Macaca fascicularis: one gene and its partners. The protein of the gene in region 1 binds, or shares a complex with, the protein of each later gene. Links are inferred from orthologs where the notes say so. Each region holds a gene or a part of one and is shown in the gene's direction. Other genes may lie near its edges. The genes, in order: TCTN1, TMEM237 and B9D2.

Region 1 (3,649 bases):
CTTTTTTTCTTTTATTTTTACTAAGAATATTTGCATGAAAACAGGATCTTTATTTTTATCTGAGCATTTAGCTCAAATATATTTCTAGATCCAAAGTACAAGTGCATGTAAAATGTTATCAGGATATCAAAGATCAGAGACACATTTATGCTTTTATTTGTCAATTAAACTCTGTCATATTTTCAGAATATCTTTACAGATTTTGGTTTTATTCTCTTGTGATTGAACAGACAGATGCTCTGTGTGGTTTGTAGTCTGAAGTGATAACTGGCCAGTGACTCAGGTTCTCTGTTGTAACACCAGCCCAGTGAACATGCCAGCCTGCTCCCTTCTCTCTCTTCTGTACACAGCACATTTTTCTCCAGGACTTTCACAGTGGCTGTGTGAGAGTAGAAATCGGATTCTTTCATTCCCACAGGCATCCGGAGAGAGCTTCTCCTTACAGGTTGATACAGCAGACTCATCAGTCCATGGGCTAGAGAAATAGACAGATTATTATCGGCTTCTGTTGTGCTGTTCACTTGTAGATGCTATCAACTATTACTTCCCCATTATTAGAAGAAGCAGGCTGAGTCTGGAGGTCCTGTTTATTGAATAAGCTTTAAAAATTCCTGGGAGAAGTGAATATGGAAAAAGACACTTTTTTTTTTTTTTTGAGATGGAGTCCTGCTCTGTCGCCCAGGCTGGAGTACAGTGGCGCCATCTCAGCTCACTGCAACCTCTGCCTCCTGGGTTTCAGTGATTCTCCTGCCTCAGCCTCCTGAGTAGCTGGGATTACAGTTGTGCACCACCATGCCTGGCTAATCTTTGTATTTTTAGTAGAGACAAGGTTTCACCATTTGGCCAGGCTGGTCTCAAAACTCCTGACCTCAGGCGATCCGCCCACCTTGGCCTCCCAAAGTGCTGAGATTACAGGTGTGAGCCAATGTGCCCAGCCAAGACACTATTTGTTTTTTACATCAGCCTTAATGCTATTAAAAACTGTTTCCAAAACCTTTATATATATCATACATACTATACATATATTTTATACCGATTTAAAATACTGTTTTTTTTTTTAAAAAAAAACAGATAAGCCTGCATTATCCTTTATTAATCCAGAAGTACCTGATGAAAATAATTTTGATACATTGATGAAAACATCTGATGGTTTTACATTGAATGCTGAATCAGATATTTCCTTCACAACCAAACTGGATATTCCTACTACTGCTAAATATAAGGTGAGCCTGAACTTGATTGATTCTTTTCATCCCATCACAAATGTCTTGTCCTTGTAAGTTAATTTTCAGGTTACCAGCAAAACTGTCTTCGCTGAGACAGAGTTGATATTACAGACTAAATAACTTAATGTTCATGCCTACAAATCAAAGATCATGAAAATTAAAACTGAATATTTGAAGATGGATTAAAGACTTAAATGTAAGACCTAAAACCATACAAACCCTAGAAGAAAACCCAGGCAATACCATTCAGGACATAGGCATGGGCAAAGACTTCATGAGTAAAACAACCAAAAGCAATGGCAACAAAAGCCAAAATTGACAAATGGGATCTAATTAAACTAAAGAGCTTCTGCACAGCAAAAGAAACTATCATCAGAGTGAACAGGTGACCTACAGAATGGGAAAAAATTTTTGCAGTCTACCCATATGACAAAGGGCTAATATCCAGAATCTACAAGGAACTTAAATAAATTTACAAGGAAAAAACAACCCAATCAAAAAGTGGGTGAAGGATATGAACAGACACTTTTCAAAAGAAGACATTTATGCGGCCAACAAACCTATGAAAAAAAGCTCATCACTGGTCATTAGAGAAATGCAAATCAAAACCACAATGAGATACCATCTCACGCCAGTTAGAATGACGATTGTTAAAAAGTCGGGAAACAATAGGTGCTGGAGAGGATGTGGAGAAATAGGAACACTTTTACAGTTGGTGGGAGTGTAAATTAGTTCAACCATTGTGGAAGACAGTGTGGCGATTCCTCAAGGATCTCAAACCAGAAATACCATTTGACCAAGCAATTCCATTACTGAGTATGTACTGAAAGGATTAAAAATCATTCTGTAAAGACACATGCCCTTGTATGTTTATTGCAGCACTATTCACAATAGCAAAGACTTGGAACCAACCCAAATGCCCATCAATGATAGACTGGATGTAGAAAATGTGGCACATATACAACATGTAATACTAAACAGCCATAAAAAAGGATGAGTTCATGTCCTTTGCAGGGACATGGATGAAGCTGGAAACCATCATTCTCAGCAGACTAACACAGGAACAGAAAACAAAACACCGCATGTTCTCACTCATAAGTGGGAGTTGAACAATGAGAACACATGGACACAGGGAGGGGAACATCACACACCGGGGTCTGTTGGGGGGTGGGGGGCTTGGGGAGGGGATAGCATTAGGAGAAATACCTAATGTAGATGATGGGTTGATGGGTGCAGCAAACCACCATGGCATGTGTATATCTATGTAACAAACCTGCACGTTCTGCACATGTATCCCAGAACTTAAAGTATAATAATAAAAATAAAACAAAACTGAGTATTTGAATTCTGAATAGAGGATTTAAGGTTGTTTATTCTATGATAAACTTGTATTTTGTCTCTTCAGAGTTCTTTGTTCTCCTCAACCTTAAAAGATGTAGCAAAATGCTTGAGGCACGTTGCTGAGACCATGGAGTAGATTAGTTGGATACCTGGTCATCTTCTCAAAATTGTATTTAGTTTTACGGATTTTGGAAGATGTGTGCTGTTTTATGTCTATTCAGTAGTACATCTTTAAATGCAACACATATTAACTTTGAATGAACCTTAACTTTTTTGGAACCTTAACTTTTTTTAAAAGGAAAGTATGAAAAAAGTCGGGAAACAATAGGTGCTGGAGAGGATGTGGAGAAATAGTTCTAAAAGTTCAAAGTATAGAGGCATATAAGTAAAAGTTGAAAGATCCCTGTATCCATTAAAATTCATACTGCAAATCACTTTGAAAAGATTGGTGTGTATTCTTGCTGATTTTTAAATATGTCTATTATAATGTATATATGGTGTTGTACAGAAGTGGGATTTATAGCTATCCATGTTGTTCTAGAAAATTCCTTTTTCAGTGGTAAGTCATGTGCATCTTCCCATGTCAATATAAAATTTACCATTGAGCATTTTTCATGTTCTGGCACTGTGAAGAGCTTTTCAGGCATTACTTCATGCACCCCTCTGGGAAGGATACACCATTGTCTCCATTTACCTGATGAGAAAAACTTAGGCACGGGAAAGTAACTTGTCAGAACTAGTGATAGAGCTGCTGCTGCGGCCTTTTTTTTTTTTTTTTTTTTGAGACAGAGTCTTGCTCTGTTGCCCAGGCTGGAGTGCAGTGGTGTGATCTCGGCTCACTGCAACCTCCGCCTCTCAGGTTCAAGCGATTCTCCCACCTCAGCCTCCCAAGTAGCTGGGATTGCAGGCACCCACCATCATGATCAGCTAATTTTTGTATTTTTGTAGAGACAGGGTTTCACCATGTTGGCCAGGCTGGTCTTCAGCTAACTTTTGTGTTTTTGTAGAGACGGGGTTTCACCATGTTGGCCAGGCTGGTCTTGAACTCCTGACCTCAGGTGATCTGCTCACCTCGGCCTCCC
Region 2 (4,195 bases), on another chromosome or scaffold:
TTCAGCAAGAAAGGTTTAATATGCACATTTCACATCTAAAATCAAAACCTACAAAAAACTGCACTGCCTTCACTATTTACAAATCAGCCTACAAGGAAAAAATTATTCTCATCAGAGGTGTGACAAACACGAATTTTCCTTACAGCCAATATCTACATGCATGCCTAAATTAGAAAAGGCAATGGATTAGTCCAGGAGACCTATATATAGAAGAATCACAAGACTGAAACCGTGTCTCAGAGTTAAACCAGGGACTAACAGAAATTCTTGAGCGTGCAGGACAGCAGATAAAAAACAATTTGCTAAAACGCCTAAACTTCTTCTATTGTGAGATTAAAAAACAAAATAAAGCAAACTGGCTGAAATTGGTTAGGACTAACACGGATGGCTACCTGAAGTCTGTACAAAATGAGCTTGCTGGCATTACAGCTCGAGTCTTCCCCCATGTTTCATACTGACTCCCTCCAAAATTTGCACATGCGACCCATGAAGGGACATGAAGAGGTAACCGCGAACGCCAAAAGATTTTCCAGATGGCTTCTTTCCTTCCACCAATCATTTACTAATCCCAGAATCCATTCCCTAAACCTTTTCTAATAAAAATACTGTCTTAAAGCCAGCACAGGGAGACAGATTAGAGCTATACTCCTGTCTCCTTGTTAGTTGACTCGCAATAACAACTTTTCTCAAAAAACCAGCATCATAATATTGGCTTCTGTGCATATAGGGCAACAAACCCCGTTTGTTTGGTAACAAGATTAGGATGCCATTACAAAGTCCTGTTTCTCTTTCTTCCCCCAGATTTGAGATTTCCAGGCGCTTTCCCTGTCCCTGTATCTGTTCATCTTCTGCATCATTCTCTTCTCCATATCCACATCATTCTTCCATCTTTCCCATCTCTTTCTTAACTGTAAAATAGAATGCATGATTCAAAATATTTGTAGTTCTGTTACTTAAAGTGAAAGTTATCTTAAAAAAAAAAAAAACCTAACCAAATAAAACTATGCAAATTAAGTAGTTTGTAATGATATTTATGTGAGGTCGGATTTGATTTTAAGGTTCTTCAAGAAAAAGTTTTTCCAAATTTGATTTACACAGTTGTGGGATGAAGGGTAAGCAATCGGAGAAAATGTGAGAATTGCCTATATTAATACACATCCACACACCCAGGCCCGCACAGACTCGTTGGTCCTAGAGAGTAAACACATTCGTCCCAAACCCAGCAATGCTTGGCAGGGCAGAGGCGGGCGGGGACCTGGCTCACGGGGAGGCGGCCACGCCAGGCGCCACGAAGCCCCGGCGTCCCGCAGGCTGCAGCGTCGCGGGGAGCTGGGCTCGGGCCGCCGGCGGTTGCGCCGGGGAAGCCCCGCGGGGAGAGCACCATGAGGGCTGACTCGGGGGCTCGGCTGGAGGAGGGCCACCTGGTGAGCGGCGAGGGGCGCGTCGGCCTCGAGGGGTGGCGGGTAAAAGCTACACTTGGCGGGGTGGGGGTGTGTGTGTGGGGGGGGGGGCGCTAACGAGCTGGGGATCACTAAGGGAGAGCCTTGCTCATGGGGTGCGCGCGTCCGCCCCTCCAGCATTCACAGGAGTGGGACGGAGACCCAGGCGAGGCCGGGACCGAACTCCTGGAGTAGGGGAGAGAGGCCTGGCATGAAGTTTGCGGGTACCTGAGCCCGCGTTGCCACGACGACGCCTCACTTCTCTGAGGCCCAGCGCCCGGCGGGTGCTGGGGCTTCCAGCCAGGCCTCTCATAGACTCCCCCTCCGAGAGGGCAGTAGCTGCCTAGAAAAGATCGTTGTTTGCCTGCGGAGTCCTTTAACCAAGGTCTTCCCTCACGCCTCGCTCCCCGCAAACAAATCACCGCGACCACTTAGGAAACCACGGGAAAGCTGCGATTGCAGCGCCACGGTCGCCGAATCTCTGCTCCTGGGCACATTACCCCAACTCAGAGGCCCCTTTTTTGGCAGGGCTAGTCTGGACTGGCCAATCCAGGTCCCTGCGCGTCTCTCACCCCAACTTACCCACCCGGCGGCGCTGCCCGATGACGCATTGCGCCTGCGCGCGCGACAGAGCCGGGAGGGGTGGGGCGCCCTGTGCTTGCGGGCCGGCGGCTGCCGAGGCCGGCTAAACACAGAATGGGGAAGAATCCTGTGGTAAGCGAGCCTTAGCTACTTTTAGTTGTTAGGATTTTTGTCTTCAGTTGAGCCGTCCTACTTTTGAGGAGTAGAGGTTGGGTCTCTGGGTGGGTGGAATGTCATTTTTGCGGGACTTTTGAAATCAGTTACGTGAACTGAGTCCTTGGATCGATCGCGCGCGTTTCGTAGCATCTGTAGAACAAGCGCGTTCCCGTGATTGTCATTCTTTTCCAGTTGTGATTTTGACTACTGGATGGTATTACGGGAGCTTGCCTCGTCCTAATCTTGTAGTACTTGCGTTAATCTACTGTTCGAACGAATGGATTGCTAAATGGGACAAACTACAAAAATGTCTAAAATTTAACCCTTTTGAATAAATGTCTTATGCAAGCAGCATGAGATACTTGGAACATTAAATTGGCTTCTAGGCATTTCTCTTAGTATCTAATTCTGAAAATACTTCTCAACTGTAATGCTCTCTGACTGCAAACACTTTTCTTATTCATATAAATGAGCGTTTAGAAGGGTTCCCCCCACCATTCTTTCTGCCCTAAAACGCATTCTTCCCAGTATATTCAAGTGGCCTTTTAAAAATTTGTGTTAGTATGTGGTTTAAAACTTCCATTGGTTTCCCATTGAATTAAAACAAAATCCAAACTCCTTGCCTTGGTCTGCAAGGCCCTAACTAAATCTGGCTCCTGCCTACCTCCTTGGCAATTGTGCGGCAGCCTTGCTGTCCTTTTACCTGAAATATTCCAGGCCCAATTTAACCTAAAAATCTTTGCATTTGTTCCGGTTGCTCCTTTCTCATTCAGGTCTCAGCTCAAATATCTCAGAGAAACTTTCCCTAACAAAAGTAGCACTCAGTCTCCTTCATTCATTACGTTTTGTGTGTTTGTGTTTGTGTATATATACACAAGGTATGTATACAAGATATATGTCTTAAATATAGCATATATATGTTACACATGCTGCATATAATATATAGTATATATTATATATATTTAACCTTGTTTCTAATAACCACTAGAATGTAAGTTCCATAAAAGCAGAGTTCTCTCCGTTTTGTTCATTAGTGTACTCCTAATGCTTAGAAAAGGGCCTGGCCTAGAGATAGAAAGGAATGTAGGAAGGAAATAATTTTATATGAAATTTAGAATGGGAGAACAAATTTTAAATTGCCCATGTTTCTCATCAGTACCTCCCAGGTTTCACTAATGAACAAGATTATCAAAAGATTTGAAGATCCTGGTCCGATCCATTATATTTTTCTGTCATGTCTGAACAACAGACTTTTGAAAGAAGTGGTTTCACCGGGCATAGTGGTTCACTCTTGTAATCCCACCACTTTGGGAGGCCAAGGTGGGCGGATTACCTGAGGTCAGGAGTTCAAGACCAGCCTGGCCAACATCGCAAAACCCATCTCTGCTAAAAAACCAAAACTTAGCCGGGCATGATGGTGGGTGCCTGTAATCCCAGCTGCTTGGGAGGCTGAGGCAGGAGAATTGCTTGAACCCAGTAGATGGAGGTTGCAGTGAGCCAAGATCGTGCCATTGCACTCTAGCCTGGGCCACAGAGCAATACTCTGTCTCAAAAAAAAAAAAAAAAAAAGGAAAAAAAGAATAGCTTTATGGTGTTTGGGATACATGAAGTAAAGATGCTCTAGGCTTTTACTTACAAGCAAATTTCTTTTTTTCCCCCACAGCGTCCTCCACGAGCCCTTCCACCTGTGCCAAGGTAAACATAATTTACAGTAATTTCATTATTGAGCTTTAAAAATGGAAAACGAAGACAGTAGAAAAATTAACTAGTATCATTGCAAAATTACAATGATTCTGGAAACTCTTCTGAAAAATTTAGGGATTTTCTGAAATTTTAAAGGTGAAAAATCCTTGAATTATAAGAATAGCAGTTAAAATTGAATGTTAAATTTAAAAGCCTGAATATCATCATGGTAGGATAATGGATCCATTCCCTTTCTAACTGTTTTAGTGTTTTTTTTTTTTTTTTTAATCAGAATTCTGATCTTTCGTTTGTGAGAATAGTTTCCTCAGAGTTTA
Region 3 (3,649 bases), on another chromosome or scaffold:
CGCTTCATAACCCCTACCAGTAGATGCCACAGAGCAACAGTCCTATAGCCACAGTGGCATTCCCTTCCCAGTGGCTGCCTCCCACCCCTCTATGTCCCCGCTGTCACTGCAGGGGCGGCGTGGAAGCTCCTGTCAGGCGTGCGGGAGGGCCAAACGCAGGTGGACACCCCCCAGATAGGGGACATGGCCTACTGGTCCCACCCCATCGATCTGCACTTCGCCACCAAAGGTCTTCAAGGTGGGTACCACACCTGGTCCCGGGGCCAGGCTGAGGGGAGGGGACGAGTAGCCTCTGAGGCCCCTCGGTCTGGGAACACCAAGACCTGTCCCTGCTCCCCATACCACGTGGGTCCCTTTTGCAGCAAGTCTGGCCCTGGAGAGGCTGAGCTAAGACTTTCCCAGGCCTGCTCAATAGGCGATCCCAAGTTTGTAGGATTAGGGCAGAGTCCAGGGTGGAGCGGGAGATGGGAAGGTGGGGGTCAGGGTGGGAGGGAAGGTGGCATTCAAGTAAAGAGACAAACCGAGAGTTTCCAATAAAGAGGAAGCCGGGAGGCAGGGTCTGAGAGAGGCAAGGGCTGTTTCTCCAGGAAGGGGCTCCTCGGCTTGAAAGTAGAGCCACTGCTCAAAGGGGAAATCAGTACTGGGGGAGGAGCGGCATCAGAAAACCTTTTGGTAGGAAATGTGGGTTCCTGAAGATGAGTCGATTCTGAGAAATTGCCTAGGTAAATGTGCCGTATATTTCACCAATATAAAGAATGTTTACCTGGTGCCTGCCCTGTGTCCAGCCTGTGTTGGGTGATGCCAGGGAGACACTGGGGATCAAGGCAGTGCCCCTTAGCCTTCTCCTCACAGAGTTCACCATCCTATGGAGGGGACACGCCTCTCTCCAGACAGTGGCACCTGAGTGGGCAGGACTAAGATAGGCAATTTGGAGAGGCCGTGGGAGCCCACAGGAAGTGCCTGACTCTGTCAGGGAGGTCACAGAGGGCTTCCTGGAGGAGGGGGCTTCTGCGCTTTGCTGTGAAGGGCCAGTGGAAGCTAATAAGGCAGAGGGATAGAAGAAGGTTCTAGGCAGAGGGAGCTACATGTGGAAGACTCAAAGGGGAGAGTGAACCAAGGGTGTCTAGCGCACTGAGGGAGAGCGGGACGGCAGCAGGGAAAGGTAGCAGGGGACAGTTCATGCAGGACCTCGAGTGCCAGGCTGAGGAGCTGAGGCCATCTCCTGAAGGCACTTGGGAGCCAGAGCAGGTGATGGACAAGTGAGATTTCACTTTTTTTTTTTTTTTTTTTTGAGACAGTGTTGCTCTGTTACCCAGGCTGGAATGCAGTGGCAAGATCTCAGCTCACTGCAACCTCCGCCTCCTGGGTTCAAGCAATTCTCCTGCCCCAGCGTCATGAGTAGCTGGGACTACAGCTGTGTTTTACCATACCTGGCTAATTTTTGCCTTTTTTTTTTTTTTTCTTTTAAGTAGAGATGGCATTTCACCATGGTGGTCAGGCTGCTCTCGAACTCCTGACCTCAGGTGATCCGCCTGCCTCGGCCTCCCAAAGTGCTGGGATTATCGGTGTGAGCCACCGCGCCTGGCCGAGATTTCACTCTTAAATAATCTTTCTGTCCTTTAAGCTGGAGCTGGGGAAAGAAAAACTTTCCGGTGCTGTGCGGGTGAGGTGGGCAGCTCTAATCTTTCAGCTCTTGGGGCCTCCGGTTCCCCAGTGGTGGCACCAGCCTTGCTCTCTCTTTTCTCAAGCCCCCATTTTGTCCATTAGGAAATCTTACTGCCTCTACTTTTGAAATACACCCTAAATCCCACTTCTCACCCTTTTCTCACCCAGCATCTTGATCTGTCCAAGTTCATCTCTCACCTGGACTATGACAGTAATCTTTTCTCTGGGGCCCCCTTCCCCAACCCCCGCTAATCTGCACCCCACATGCAGCTGGAACCCTGTGAACACCTAAGGTCCTGTCTCCGCTCTGCTCAGAACCCTCCAGTCGTCCCCATCTCACTCAGGGTAAAAGCCAAAGTCTTAGCATGCATCACAAGGCTCTCCGCAACCTGGCTGGCACCTCCTTCCCTTCTCCTCACCTCATTCTGCTCTAGCCATGCTATCCCCACCAGGCACACTCTGTCGGGGCTCCGGCCATGCCGTCCCCACCAGACACTCCCCTCTCAGGGCCCTGGCACTTGCTGTTCCCTCTGGCTGGGAACACTCTTCCTCTAGATGGCCACATGGCCTACTCCCTTCCTTCCTTTTAGCATTTGCTTAAATGTCACCTTCTTAGTGAAGCTTCCTTGATCCCCTTCTACAGCCATATCCCCACCCTCACCCTACCCAGCTCTGTTTTTCTCCACAGCAATTACCACCATCCGATCTAACCTATAATTTGCTTATTTACTACATTTGTTGTCTAGGATATCAGCTTCACGGGGGCAGGAATTTTTGTCTGCCATCCATGTTCATGTCCGCCGTGTCCCCAGCTAGCTAGAACAGGGCCTGGCACAGGGGAAGGGGTCAGCATGAGATGAGATGAGATGGAGCTGGATCTCCAAGGGTTTTGACTACTAGACTGAGGAGCTGAACTGTGTTCTGAGGACATGGGCAAAGCTATGGAAGGAAAGATGTTTCCAGATGCCAGGTGGAAGGTGGATTAGAGAGGGGCAAGAAAGAAGGCCCTGGGCCCAAAGAGAGCAGGGCAGGAACATGAGGAGGGAAGGCAAGAGGTGACCCTGACAAGACCCACGATGGTTACCTGGGGACTGGAGGAGCAATGGGCTGCCCTGACATGGGGTCATGGAGGAGGATAACACAGAGAGGAAATTCAGCAGAGGTCTGATTAGAAGGGCCTTGAATGTTGAAGAGGTTGGACTTTATAGTGAGGGCACTGGGGAGCTATGGAAGGATCCTTAGCAGGGGAGTAACATGGATTTGGAAAGATCTCTGGCAGTTGTGTGGGGATAGATGAGAAGATGGGAGTCTAGAAAGGAGGCTGGGTTGGAAACCCTGGGACAGAAACCCAGAAAGGAAAGGACTGGGCCTGGGGTCTCCGGTGAGTATCAGGGAGGGGGGAATCAGGAGCAGGAGTCTGGTCACCACCCATCCCTCCTTTCCCCTCTCCCTGCTTTCCTGCAGGCTGGCCCCGGCTCCATTTCCAGGTGTGGTCCCAGGACAGCTTTGGCCGCTGCCAGCTTGCAGGCTATGGATTTTGCCATGTGCCCAGCAGCCCGGGCACACACCAGCTGGCCTGCCCCACCTGGCGGCCCCTGGGCAGTTGGCGAGAGCAGCTGGCACGGGCTTTCGTGGGTGGTGGGCCACAGCTGCTGCATGGGGACGCCATCTACAGTGGGGCCGACCGCTATCGCCTGCACACAGCTGCTGGTGGCACCGTGCACCTGGAGATCAGCCTGCTGCTCCGCAACTTCGACCGCTATGGCGTTGAGTGCTGAGGGACCCTGTCTCCAACGCCACCACCATCCACACCCTGGACACCCAGTGAGGCACAGTGGTCAGGAGCACGGACTCTGGAGACCATCAGAGCTGGACCCCAGCTAAGGACTCCTGTCCTTGCTAGGACCTCTGGGTCCCTCTGGGCCCAGTTTCCCTATCTGTAAATTGGGGAGAGTAAATGTATGGGGTCGCAGGATGTTGGATG

Evidence for each region.
Region 2: TCTN1 (region 1) and TMEM237 share a complex: the UniProt entries of both Homo sapiens proteins name them as parts of the tectonic-like complex. The link is inferred for Macaca fascicularis from reciprocal best matches to the Homo sapiens genes TCTN1 and TMEM237.
Region 3: TCTN1 (region 1) and B9D2 share a complex: the UniProt entries of both Homo sapiens proteins name them as parts of the tectonic-like complex. The link is inferred for Macaca fascicularis from reciprocal best matches to the Homo sapiens genes TCTN1 and B9D2.

Annotation. Positions count from the first base shown.
Region 1 is NC_088385.1:117,512,611-117,516,259, forward strand, and holds part of TCTN1 (tectonic-1), read left to right. Parts: intron 1-1,071; coding exon 1,072-1,223; intron 1,224-3,649. UniProt on the Homo sapiens protein: Component of the tectonic-like complex, a complex localized at the transition zone of primary cilia and acting as a barrier that prevents diffusion of transmembrane proteins between the cilia and plasma membranes.
Region 2 is NC_088386.1:97,454,408-97,458,602, reverse strand, and holds the start of TMEM237 (transmembrane protein 237), read left to right. Parts: upstream 1-1,257; 5' UTR 1,258-1,382; coding exon 1,383-1,424; intron 1,425-1,667; exon of another isoform or gene 1,668-2,046; intron 2,047-2,068; exon of another isoform or gene 2,069-2,135; coding exon of another isoform or gene 2,136-2,153; intron 2,154-3,840; coding exon 3,841-3,872; intron 3,873-4,195. UniProt on the Homo sapiens protein: Component of the transition zone in primary cilia. Required for ciliogenesis.
Region 3 is NC_088393.1:48,495,939-48,499,587, reverse strand, and holds part of B9D2 (B9 domain-containing protein 2), read left to right. Parts: intron 1-112; coding exon 113-238; intron 239-3,129; coding exon 3,130-3,443; 3' UTR 3,444-3,649. UniProt on the Homo sapiens protein: Component of the tectonic-like complex, a complex localized at the transition zone of primary cilia and acting as a barrier that prevents diffusion of transmembrane proteins between the cilia and plasma membranes.